Regions from separate parts of the Mus musculus genome. Here all the other regions are reported to be linked to region 1. The links are microRNA targets in miRTarBase. Many come from high-throughput screens and were not tested one by one. Region 1 holds a microRNA gene; each other region holds the end of a gene's coding sequence. Distances are between the middles of the regions.

The links. Region 1 holds the annotated microRNA mmu-miR-370-3p (GCCUGCUGGGGUGGAACCUGGU, at 1,299-1,320, shown strand). A microRNA usually pairs through its seed, bases 2 to 8, with sites in the 3' UTR of a target mRNA and lowers its output. Matches are read on the target gene's strand: a 7mer-m8 pairs with bases 2 to 8, a 7mer-A1 pairs with bases 2 to 7 and ends in A, and an 8mer does both.
Region 2: the mRNA of Slc5a3 is a reported target of mmu-miR-370-3p. The part of its 3' UTR that is shown has no 7-base or 8-base seed match.
Region 3: miRTarBase lists Dnmt3a as a target of mmu-miR-370-3p. Seed matches in the 3' UTR shown: 7mer-m8 at 3,143-3,149, 7mer-m8 at 902-908 and 7mer-m8 at 178-184.

Annotation. Positions count from the first base shown.
Region 1 is chr12:109,617,007-109,621,074 of GRCm38, forward strand. Mir370 (microRNA 370) reads left to right here and starts at 1,252; the gene lies at 1,252-1,330. Rian (RNA imprinted and accumulated in nucleus) reads left to right here. Exons shown (of 21, transcript NR_028261.1): 3 at 205-343; 4 at 3,307-3,394.
Region 2 is chr16:92,078,668-92,082,729 of GRCm38, forward strand. Slc5a3 (solute carrier family 5 (inositol transporters), member 3) reads left to right here. Exons shown (of 2, transcript NM_017391.3): 2 at 1-4,062. The coding sequence ends at 546. All of the region lies in intron 1 of Mrps6 (mitochondrial ribosomal protein S6), which reads left to right. Among named protein-coding and RNA genes, the nearest start is that of Mrps6, 22 kb to the left of the region's middle.
Region 3 is chr12:3,907,463-3,911,524 of GRCm38, reverse strand. Dnmt3a (DNA methyltransferase 3A) reads right to left here. Exons shown (of 23, transcript NM_007872.4): 23 at 1-3,919. The coding sequence ends at 3,778. Among named protein-coding and RNA genes, the nearest start is that of Gm31623, 15 kb to the right of the region's middle.

The sequences.
Region 1 (4,068 bases):
TTAGGACTTCTCATCTTCATCCAAATCTCACCACCTGAGTGAGGCTGTCTCCCTGGATAGCTGCTCTGCCACAGCCCAGGGGCCCCCCAATCCTGAATGTTACTCTGTCAGCCCATACCTTGCATTTATTCAGTCTGAGTGTTCTTTTTTCCTGGCTTTCCCCACAGGGCTGGTCGTCCTTACAGGATTTTCCCTTGTTCTCAGCATCTAGACCCGTAACGCCCACTTCAGAATGGGAGGGAGGATGTCTGCTGCCCTGTCGTCTCCACACCCGAGGAATGTCCGTGTGTGTGTGTGTGTGGTGTGCACAGCGGGCTGCACACAGCGGGCTCCACGGTGCTCGGTACAGTGTCTGCATTCAGTAACTATTGGCTAATTATGACTAATTGACAGGACTGTTGTGGGAACGAAACCGTGTGCTGAGCAGTCCGTGCTGGGTGCAGGACAAACAATGCCTGTGGCTGGGGGCCCACAGGGGGCTCGTTCGCTTGACACCTGAGGGCCCCCCCACCCCCCCCCCCCCCCCCCGTCCTGGGAGCAGCTCAGAGAACTAACTGGCTTGGCTTGGTTACTGGGAGCCTCCTTCCACTTAGAGGGGAGCAATATGCACTGGGAGAGTTTCATGGCAGTATGGGGCTGGGGGAAGTGTAACTCAGTTGAGAGTGCTTGCTTGGCGTTCAGGAAGCATTGGGTTCGAAACCCCCAGCACTGTATAATACTGGGTGCTCTGAACCTTGCACTCAAGAGGTGGAAGCAGGAAGGGTCATGAATTCAAAACCATCCTCAGGCCAGCCAGGTCTTCAAGAGACCTCTAAAGAAAACCAAAGTAAAACCAGTGATCCTACAGCACAGACTCCCTGCAATGTGGTTCAGTTTTCAGAAGTGAGTCCCTGTGGGTGGATCCTTTTTTTTTTTTTTTTTTTTTTTTTTAAAACTATGATATCTTGACCACAAAGGAACAGATCCCGGTAATGTCTCGGCCAAGGTCAGGCATAGAGTTCAGAGCATAGAGCGAGTTTGACTGTCTAATTTTTAGGAGACCTGTTGAGCAGATAGGTGTGTGGGGTGGGTGGAGCTGTGTGGGTATGCAAAGGGTGGGTGTGGCTTTGAGGATCAGTCAGTTTGTCAGTCTATCCTTCAGTCTGCCTGGTCCATCGGTTGGTCGGTCGGTCGGTCGGTAGTCCTTCAGCCTGTTGGACCCAGGAAGGTGCTGCTGTTCTCAGTCGACAAATCCTACGAGTCCGGGGCCTAAGACGGAGAGACCAGGTCACGTCTCTGCAGTTACACAGCTCATGAGTGCCTGCTGGGGTGGAACCTGGTTTGTCTGTCTGTCTGTCACCATCGCTCGGGTGCTGCTGCTGCTGCTGCTGCTGCTGCTACTGCGGGGGGCAAAGATTTGTGAAAGGGGCTTAGAGTTGCTGTGGGAGGGCTTCTGCCTGGCTTTGAGGAGAAGGATTATCTTTGCTAAGGGATCAGAGGCGTGGATGTTTGGTAGATGGGAACAGAGCACAGAGAGGCTTCTCAATTGATGTAGATGTCACCCAGCAAGTTAGAATTAAAGGCTGAGTTTGGGGGTGGGTATCATTGTGTGGGTATTTTTGTAGGCTATGCTAGCCTCATGACTGTGACCAGACGTAGAAGTAGCCAATGTGTGTGAGGACCTGGTTTCGAGTCCTGTCACCAAATGTCAAATGGACATGTCAAGCTGTATATCTTCAGCAGACCATGGGCTCTTGAAAAGCCTATTTCAAGAACACACATCTGTCTCCATGCTATGTGTATAAAAGCAGGAGGGACAAGCCATTGTTAAAAACATTTGTGTGGCCAGCAGGACAGTGGGGTCAAAAGGGTGGGGGCCATGCGTGGTTAGTCCTAAGTGGTTCGAATACTAATTAATAAGACCCGGATAAGGCCTGAGGACAAGTGTGGGCTGTGAACCATGAGATGTGTTAACTCAGTACAAGGGGCTAACATGGAAAGAGAACTCAGAGGGGAATTGGGCTGCTCATGTTATATTAAAAATTAGAAAAGAACAAGAAAGACTGTCCTCATGCCTTGGATCCATCAGCCGTGAGACTTTCAAATAAAGTCAAAGAGTGACCCAGGTCTGCTAACCTGACATTTATGAGAAAACGGGTCCAGCAGCCATTTCCTGCCATTCTGTGCCTTCATGTGGCCACTTTGGATAGGTAGCAGGCCTGGGAGGTCTCCTTTCAGGAAGTAATAAGGAATGGTATAAAGTTATGTATAAAAGAAATTATGCATGATTTAAATTAATTGTGCATAAAATTAAAGAGCCTCATAGGTAGACCCGAAGAGGTATTTTTTTTCTGTCCTGTTGGTTTAATTGACAAATAAAAATGTATGTATTTAAGCTCTGATGTTTTGTGCCTAGTACCCCACTCTGTAATACTTATGTGGGAGGAGAATATCTTGGACCCTCCGTGTTAATTCTCAATATACGTCACTGTTGACTAGAATTGCCACTCTGTACGTACATTAGCCACTGAGAACTTAATATTCTTGCGAATGCGAGTTGTATTGTCTGACCCACTCCTGTTCCTCACACCCACTGACCTCTACCAACTGCCCTTCCACTCTGAGTTTGTGTGAAGTTATTGAGAGACCAACCGCAGCCGTAGGCCGTGAGTAAGATGGCCCCCGCGTGAGCAGAACTGTCAGGGGTACTGCTCTGTTTGCCTACTTCAACTGAATTTGGCCTGCATTAAAAGAGGAATTAAATGAGTCAGTAAATAATGGCCAGGTGACAGGATCCCAGGAGTGGGCCACTAAAAATGTTTTTTTGACCAAAAGGTTAATTTTTATTCGTTGATGTATAATTGTAGCCTTAAAAAACTTCTATTTTACCTCTATGTACTAAGATGTGGTGAGATTCGAACTAGGCTCATCTGTGTTTATTGTATTTAAAATGTATGAAAACACTGGGAAGACCAAATAGGCAATGATGATGAGATTGTATCTGTAATCAAAGATGGCTGTGTCTCTTACTCTGTACTGGGTCTGTTTCAAAAAGGGTCTGTTGTTTCCTTTGTGGTCAGGACATATAGGATCAATGTTTATAAAAAAGAACTGCTTTGGGGTTGGGGGTTTTTTGGATAGTGAATTTGTACACATTCATTAAAATGATAAGAAATGATAAATGAATGAATGAATTTATGAATGAATGAATATGTGCTTGGGCCTGTATGATGATCCTAGATTAAGATAATCTGCCCTGCTCACTAATGGCTTTGAAGCAAGTGTTTCTACTTCGTCCTTTTTAAATATCTGCCTTGTGTTCTACAGAATGGAGGCCCTAATGTGAATGGAGACTAGCCTGCTGGTAGAGACCTTGGCAGTGACCGCTGTGGGCAATGAGCCATGGGCCAACAATGTGAGTAATGGCTAGTTTTGTTATTTTGAACTTGGGTAGTTGGCTGATGGGTGTTTATTGCATTATTAAACATGATTGAGTTTGTAAATAAAACCAAAGATGGCCAAAGCCCTAGCCAGTGTGGAGACTGTCATGAACCAAGGGTAATTAATCCAATTAGGCATAATAATTACCGAATTAGAAGTAATATAGTAAGCTATTTCGTATGGGGAAAATATCAAAGGAAAAGGGAATTTCTTATGCTTGGGTGATAGTTCAATTGTTCATGTGCTTGCCTTATAAGCAAATGGGCCTGCAGTTGATCTGGTGGCCATATATAAAAAACTGGTCACGGTGGCATTCTTAGAGTCTCAGTCCTAAGGAGGTAGAGACAGGAAGACCTCTTAGGTTCTCTGGCCAGACAGATTACCCTACATGGTGTGTTCTAGGCCCATGATACCGTATGTCACAGATAGTGCCTAGGGGACAACTTTCAAGTTTGATCTCTGGCCTTAATATGTATGTACACATACGCACCTGCACAGAGTGAGCACACCACCCAAAAGAAGTATGCATATGCTTATTTGCATACACCCATACGGCATATGTGTGTCATATGTTAAGTGTTGCATATTCTTTTATCGTTCTCAGGGTGGGGTGTTTATGCATCTTCATGATATATTTAAAATTTGATG
Region 2 (4,062 bases), not on the chromosome of region 1:
AAGGATCAGATTCGTACCACTACCTTTTGGTCAAAGAAGACCCTGGTGACAAAGGAGAGCTGTTCTCAGAAAGACGAACCATACAAAATGCAAGAGAAGAGCATCCTGCAGTGCAGCGAGAATAGCGAAGTCATCAGCCATACTATTCCCAACGGGAAGTCTGAAGACAGCATTAAGGGACTGCAACCTGAAGACGTTAATCTGCTGGTGACATGCCGAGAAGAGGGCAACCCAGTGGCTTCCATGGGTCATTCAGAGGCAGAAACACCAGTAGATGCTTATTCCAATGGGCAAGCAGCTCTCATGGGTGAGAGAGAAAGAGAGAAGGAAACGGAAAATAGAAGCCGGTATTGGAAGTTCATAGACTGGTTTTGTGGCTTTAAGAGTAAAAGCCTTAGCAAGAGGAGCCTCAGAGACTTGATGGATGAGGAGGCTGTGTGTTTACAAATGTTAGAAGAGACTCCACAAGTTAAAGTGATCCTAAACATTGGACTTTTTGCTGTGTGTTCACTTGGAATTTTCATGTTTGTTTATTTCTCCTTATGAACTTAAGGATACGGTGAGACACTTAAGAGAAAATACTGGTCTTTGAAAACAAAAATGTAACTGTCGCACCTCCCAGGCATTGTTTACGCTGAAGGTTTTAGCCAAATTCTCCTTAGCAGAAAAATCATCTATTTGTAAGACTGTTTTCCCAGAGATGGGGAAAACGTAAATCTTCAACTTACATGAAACAGAGCAGAGTGAATTGTGCAAAAAATGTGGTTTGAGAGTTTTCTGTACCAAAGTAAGGAGAGACCAATTATTCTCATGTATCACTTAGGACAGAACATGTGCTAAGGTATCGTGAGTAAAGTGTCTTGTCTACATTGCCAAGGCTTGGTAGACCCTCTGCTGAAGGAAATTTGCTCATTTATAAAGGCTTTTGTCTCTAATCCCTGCTACAGTTAAAAAATGAATTTGTAGAGACTGTATGATTAGTTAGGTCCTGAAAGTCTAATGTGTTGTGTACTAATGACTTGAGGACAACTTTGTGTGTGTGGCTGGTCATTAGCACGAGTCTACGGATTCTGCTTGCCAAGAGAAAGGAAGAGCGTTTTCCTGCAGGTCCTTTTGTACTACAGCTTGTATGGAAATGTCAGCAGCCGTGGGGAGCAGACTTGGTTTCCATCTCTTCCCTCTCTTTTTTCCTACTTAAACTGAATCATACTCCACGGACTACCAAGTCTGTCTATAATTTTGCTTTTAATTAGGGGGGAAGTAAATACTGCTGATGATCCCCACATTTATTGATCAGATAAGAATATTTTAAAATATAGTTTGAGAATTATCAGCTACCAGGCAATGACTGATATTTAATGCTAAGTAGATGATGAATCATTTTTTTTTTTACCTGCTTTCTAGCTGCTTCTTTGTCATTTTACTAACATTCCTTATTTGCCAAATGCCTTCCCAAATGGGTCCTATTGTAAGATGTTCAGTATCGTGGAGGAGCGTCAACACTACTTGTGTGCCGGGGTTGGCACTTGCTTAGTTTGTGAAACGTTGTTAAGTTTTAGAGGAACAGTCTAATTCCATTCCTTATAAGTTCTCTTCCTTATTTCTGTCTTTTTTGAAGGCTTGCTGTGTATATACATCTATGCTGTTATAGTCAGTTAGCACATGAGTATGTTTCATTACGAAGTGGCTGTCAGTCATAGAACACTCGGCAGTCTTACTGTTGATGAGAGTAGATTTTCTGTAGGATGGCCAGCATGTTCCTCGGTTGCCACGAACAGGGACTTTAGGGTTTAGCAGTGTGCTTGTGGGGGATATCACACTTGTGGAGGACTCTTGATATTGACCTTAGCTTAGCTTGGTATCCAACTGCCACATTCATGGGCAGCAGATCTTTTTTTGTAGGCTGTTTCTCCTTATTGAAGATAGTGCAGGAGGAATTCGAGAAAAATCCTAGGGATGGTGTGTGTAGTCCTATGTCTTCATCACTGCCTCTTCTCCATTAGAGATGAAGAAAGCGAATTCTGTATCTACTTTCTTTAGGCCGATAACTTTTTAAATTGCATGACTTTTATTAAGCCTTGTACTTAAGGAGAATTACTACTTTTATAGATCATTTTATAGCTTTTCAATCAAACTCAGTCCTGATAACCAAAACAAAACAATACCTTTCCTTAGTTTTTTTTTTTTTTTTTTTTTTTTTTTTGTAATGCATCGACTTGTTTGCAGGCGATGGACGTCATGAGTCCAGTGCTGTTAGGGATCACAGATTGTCACACACAGTCTTCCTATCTTCTGGAGGGTTTCTGAGGGACTGAGTCTGGAAATTGAAAAAGTCATCTCTGTATGAATAGCATGCATTTCTGAAGAACTTAGAGTGCCTTGTACAATTTTTCTCTTAGTTTCTATTTTGAGATTTATAACCTGGAGCCAAGTAGATAGGGGCCATCCTTTTCTTGAGTGGAAAGTTGAGTTAGTTCTCCAAATGTGGACTCAGAGTTTGCCCATGTGTTTGGATGGATAGCTGTGCTTTGTGGCTGTCTTCTCTTAAACAATTCTTTTTGAGATAATCTTTCAGTCTTTGAGAAAGTTACAGAATATTGGGTTGTCCAAATTTGGATTAAGTTGTAGGAATTAACATTTCCTTTGAACACATTCCTATGCAAGTTAGCAGACATTGACACATTGGCCAAGTGGGCTTCCTCATCCTTGTATGTATAGCATAGTGAATAGGAGGTATTATGTGAATTTCTCCCTTTTATTTAGTGCTGAGTCCTAATAATTTGGAATGCTAGAGTCCTCTTACCCCCTTTTTGTTGACTTATAGTAAGATACATAATGTATACCGTAATGTGTCTATCTGTGTGTAAATAGCTGTAGGTCAAGTGTAGAGAGCTAATAAATAAGGAATAGCTTAGCATATGCATTAGATGTGTATTCTTACCACTGCGAACATCACTTTATTTAGTCTGAAGTTTCTAAAGCTTGTCTTCCTTACTGCTTTCCAGTAATAGATACTGTGCTTGAATACGTGTGTGATGGCAGCCTCATTTCAAGGACCAGCCTTTATAGGTCATTACAGTGGTTGTTCTTGGAATGATACCTGATTTTAGACTAGCAAAATGTTCATCCTTCACATGCATATGAGTCCTAAAAGATGGCATGGATCTGTAGACATTTACACATGTGTTTTTGTGTTTGTCCAAGCTAAGCTTTGGAATTGACCAAGATTACATTGACTAAAATAGTGATTAAAAGTAAACGTGAGGTAGGTGAGGCTGTTGGTCTACAGAGGTAGGTGAGAAGTAGTTATCCTCTGAGTGATAGCCAAGCTTCTAGATGATTGTCTTCCCAGGCAGTTCTTGCTTGGATCCAGAAAGGGCTTTTTAATTTAATTTAATTTTATTTTATTTTTAATTTTGCTTTGCGCCAGTGGCTGGGACAATGATTGATGGCTCTTCTGTGGGGTTTCTCTTTCTCTCAGAAGATTGTGTCCTGCCATCCTAAGAGTAAACAACTGGGCTGCTGTTGTTCTAGGAAGTGATTGCTTTTGTTTATAGAGAAGCATCAGGCAGTAGCAGCTGCCTTTGACTCAGATTGAGCGATCTCATCCCCAGGGCTTCCTTTCACCAGCTCGAAGGATCCACTCTTGCACAGAGAGGCTGACCTGGGTAGTCTATCCGTGACTCTTACGGGTGTCACCATAAGTGGTCAGAGATGCTTTGTGAAACTTCCCATTTAAGAACAGGTCAGTGGAGTTATGAGTTCTCTGAGTGAGGTTAAAAGCCTTCTTCAGGGTCGCTATGAATCCTTCAATTCCTACATCAGGAGTCTTTTTTATTCCGGGTGCATGGTCTTCTCATCTCCAAATACCATTTAGTGTAATCTACAGATGAGCCTTATTTTCCACCACATAAGTATGCTTTGTCATTACTCAGTAAAGAATTAGGTCTAATTTGGCTGATATACTAAGATGCCTTCCTCCCTCATGCCTCACTCCCTTGCACAGCTCCTTTTGGAGGTGTGAGTGGAAAGGGACCACATAGGTTTCTATTGTAAACATCT
Region 3 (4,062 bases), 110 Mb from region 1:
CCGACTGCAGGCTCCCGGGCTTACTGGGTCCTATGAGAGGAATTAGCACCAGCTTGGGACCCCGCTGGTATGTGTGCCTCCTCAGGAGGCCTTAGTTCTGTGACCCTGGTGCTAGCACCAGCTACCTCCCCTGGGCAAGGGCCACAGATCTTCACAAATCTTCACACTTACACGGCACCTGCTGAGAGGTGGCTGTCACCCAGTCCCCAGCACCTTAGTTTCTAGGGAAAACAAGCCTAGTCTTTGGAAAGGAAAGCCCACAGGGAACCTCCCATGACTGAATCCAGCTTCAGCCCCACCTGCAGTGAGCTAGTTCCTAGATGCACTGCAAACTCCCCACAACCTCCCCTCAGCTACCCCAGCATCCCAGCAGCTCTCCTCAGAGGTGACCCTAGAAGCCGCACTTGGGGTAGAGACGGATGAATAGCCAGATTGGCACAGTCCCAAAGACACCCCTCCCCAAAAGATATTGGGGGCTAACTCGCCTGGTGCCCTCACACTATGGTAAGACTAAGCCTACAGATGGGGCTGGAAGGAAAGCTAGAGAAGGCCACCCGATGCCCGCCCCATGAGGAGTCCATCAGGGACCGTGTCAGGTCAGTACTGGTCAGCCACCTGGAAGCCTCTACTCAGTCCCTTGGGAACTCCTCCTCCTGAGCCCTCACACTAACCCCAGGCACGGGAGCACCAGGCCCAGCTGAGGCGGCACTAGGCTCCTGGGAAAGGCTAGCTTCGTCACATATGCGGTGGGCAGAGATGGCCTTTGAAGACAGTCCTGACAGGAGCTGGGAAGACCTTGCCATTGCTAGAGGGGGAGGGAGCACCTTGGACTGCCTAAAGCAGCCTTCCTCCCCTCCAGTCCTCCTGCATGGTGCTGGTGGACTCCAGGTCAGAATGGAGCCCTGCTGGAGCAAGGGAGGACGTTACATTTAGTACAGGGACTCCAAGAGGGCAAGCATCCCCCTCTCCTGGATGCTCCAGCCCCATAGTCATACCTGCCATGGCAGGGGAAACTAGCTGCGATCTTAAAACTCTATCCAGAGAAAATGAGCAGAGGTGGGCAGGACTACACAGCCCAAGCAGTGTACCAAGCCACCAGCCAAGCTTAGTCCCGAGCAGTGAGCAAGGGGCCAAAGCCTCTGACTAGTTTTAGCACTAATTACTGATTTGCTTTACTCCAAAAGTGAGGTTCACTGTCCCATTTTAATTTTTTTTTTAACATTTTATTTTCCCAATGGAAGCCCCATGGCCAAGAGAGATTTCAGTTCGACTTTGGTTGGGGAGAATAGGTAGGGGCTGAGGGCTGACTTGACTGGTGCCGAGAGTTGCAGGTCAGTAACCACAGGCTGCTAACAGAAGCTGACATCACCAGAGGCAAAGGGAATACAACACAGACCTGCTAGAGGAAGCACCTGCTTGGATCAAACCTCCTCCTTTTCCTGACTTCAGCACCTAGCAACTTCTGGGATCGAGTCTACCTGTCATCAGGGCAACAGATGTACGAGAGAGAGCTGTGTAGCCGACTCCATCGTCCTGATCCTGCAGAGAAGTGTGCTGGGGGCTCCCTGGTGTGCATCCAGACAGAAATAGATTCCTGTGCATGTGTTAGACTGATATACTGTTTGTGGGGCTGTCTGCGGGAAGGACCCAGGCTCAACACAGAGCCCACTCCCTCCAACCCCCTCTGTGTATATTTCTTATACATGACCCTATCTATGTATTTATATAGGGCCTATCATAGGCCCCATCTTTCTAGGGATGCGGTCTTGGGACCATGTGCTTGACAGCACACCTCCCAGTCTCTGCTGGTCCCAGGAGGTGCCGTCCCCCCTCCCATTATAAAATATATATCTCTATATGCCACATATCTACACTCCATCCATCCAGGCAAGCCCTCACCCTGGGGCCAAGCACACCTTCCCTTCCCGCTGCCAATGCCAGGCTGCCTGCCCTGGCTGGGGAGCGGAACAAAGTGCGAGCACATGGCCCAGGTGAAGCTGACTCAAGTGAGAGCACAGCCATCAGAGCAAACACTAGAAAAGAAACACACGCCACTCCAACCACACACACAAGGAGGGAGGCTGCCCCGGCCTCCCTCCAGCCCTGACACACCGGACTCACGAGGAAGGGAAGAAGAAGAGAAGAGTGACTGGCCCGGAGGGTGGGCCTCAAACTCCCTGGCTGCCTAGCTTGTTGCCCAGTGGCTCACCTGGCCTGAGGGGTGGGAGCCAGGGCACCAGAGCCACTGGTCCTTAAAAAAGCACCTGCCACCCCCCCGCACCTTGGTTTGAAACCTAAAGGGAAGGGTGTTGGGTTTTTGTTTTCTGAAAGAAAATCTTAAAACAATTATAGCCAGAACCATAAGAATAATTATAATAAAGGTGTCATCAGCCTCCCAAGTATGAAACTGCAGTCTTTAGAGATGACCAAAAACATCACATTCCAGGACCGGAGCTGCCATGTGCAGAGGGGATGGTGGGGCCTTATAAAAGAACACACAAAAGGCAACTTAGACAGAAAGCACCAGTACATTTTGTATGTTTTTTTATTTGCTCCAGGTGGGGTTAATGGCGGGTCACTTTCCCTCACTCTGGAATATTTCTGATCCCACAAGGGGCCTTCAACGTGGCTGACGAATTCAAAATCAGGGACAATGTTTTCTCAAGCCATTTTTCTGAGGCAGTCATTTTAGATTCATATTCTAAGGTTATTGCACGCGAGTCTGGATAAATTCCACACTCAGCTTCCCCAGGGTCCGACCACCTCAGCTGAGCCCCTTTTTGGCAGGTGAAGCTAGGCATGGGGCAGGGGTGGGGGGTGATATGGGTCATCCTTCAGTTTGTTAAAACCCCCTCCAGCTGCTCCCCTCTCCCCATCCTGGGCTGAAACCCTTTGCACAGAGGGCCAGGCGGAAGCTGATGTCTTTGCTCATCTCGCTGTTTTGAAAGCACCATTATGAAGTCGGGATGTACAGTAGTTAACAGTACCTTTTATATATATATATCTCATATCTATCATATATATATAAACTGTAAACAAGAGGTAACAGCGGCTTCTAGAAACTGGTTTTCTTCAAGGTTTCCTGTGTGGTAGGCACCTGAAATACTGTAGAAAAGTGTCTGGTGTGGTGTTCTCTCAGCGCCCTGCTGCTAGTTGGGTTCTGTTTTGCATGACCAGGAATGGTGCTGTTGAGACTGCTCGGGGGGTGGGAGAGGAGACTCTGCCTCCGAGGGTCTCTATTCTCTTCCTGTTTGTGCTCCTATCTGATCAGGCTAGAGACAACCAAAGAGATATATAGAAAAGGAAAAAAAAAAAAACCAATATTTTAAGTTTTTATAGAATTTTCCCTCTCTCCCTTTCCTCTCCAAGGCATTTCTACTTTTTGTTGTTACTGATTTTGCTGCAATAACTCTCTTGTTTCAGTCACAGCAAGAAACAAAAACCCAAACAAACAGAAAACCCCTCTGAAAAAGAGTAGAAAACAAAAAGTTCGCCTCCTAGGACCGGAGGGGAAGAAGGGGAGGGGCCTATTTTGCTTTTTAGATAGGACTGAAGGTTAACATTGAAAACTCAGGAGATGATGTCCAACCCTTTTGCAAGGCCAAGCCCTCCGGCGTTTTCCTCCTCTGTGGTTTGCTTTAAATTCCTTTTTCTCTTCTGGGTGCTGAACTTTTCTCCGTCCTCTCGTTCTTGGTGTTTTATTGTTTTGTTTTGTTTTTTGTTTGTTTGTTTGTTTAACTTTTTTATCATCACTACTTCAGTTTGCCCCCATGTCCCTTACACACAAGCAAAATATTCCTTCAGCGGAGCGAAGAGGTGGCGGATGACCGGCACGCTCCACGATCGGCCCAGCAGTCTCTGCCTCGCCAAGCGGCTCATGTTGGAGACGTCTGTGTAGTGGACGGGGAAGCCAAACACCCTGTGGGAGGAAGGCAGGGAAGGGAGTGAGTGCGGGTGTGATGGCGGATGTTAGTTTACTCTGAATTCCTGTCACAGGCTGCCATGTGCCAGCCTCTCTGTGGGTATAAAGATAGGTAGTATAATCCCAGCTTTGAGATTCAC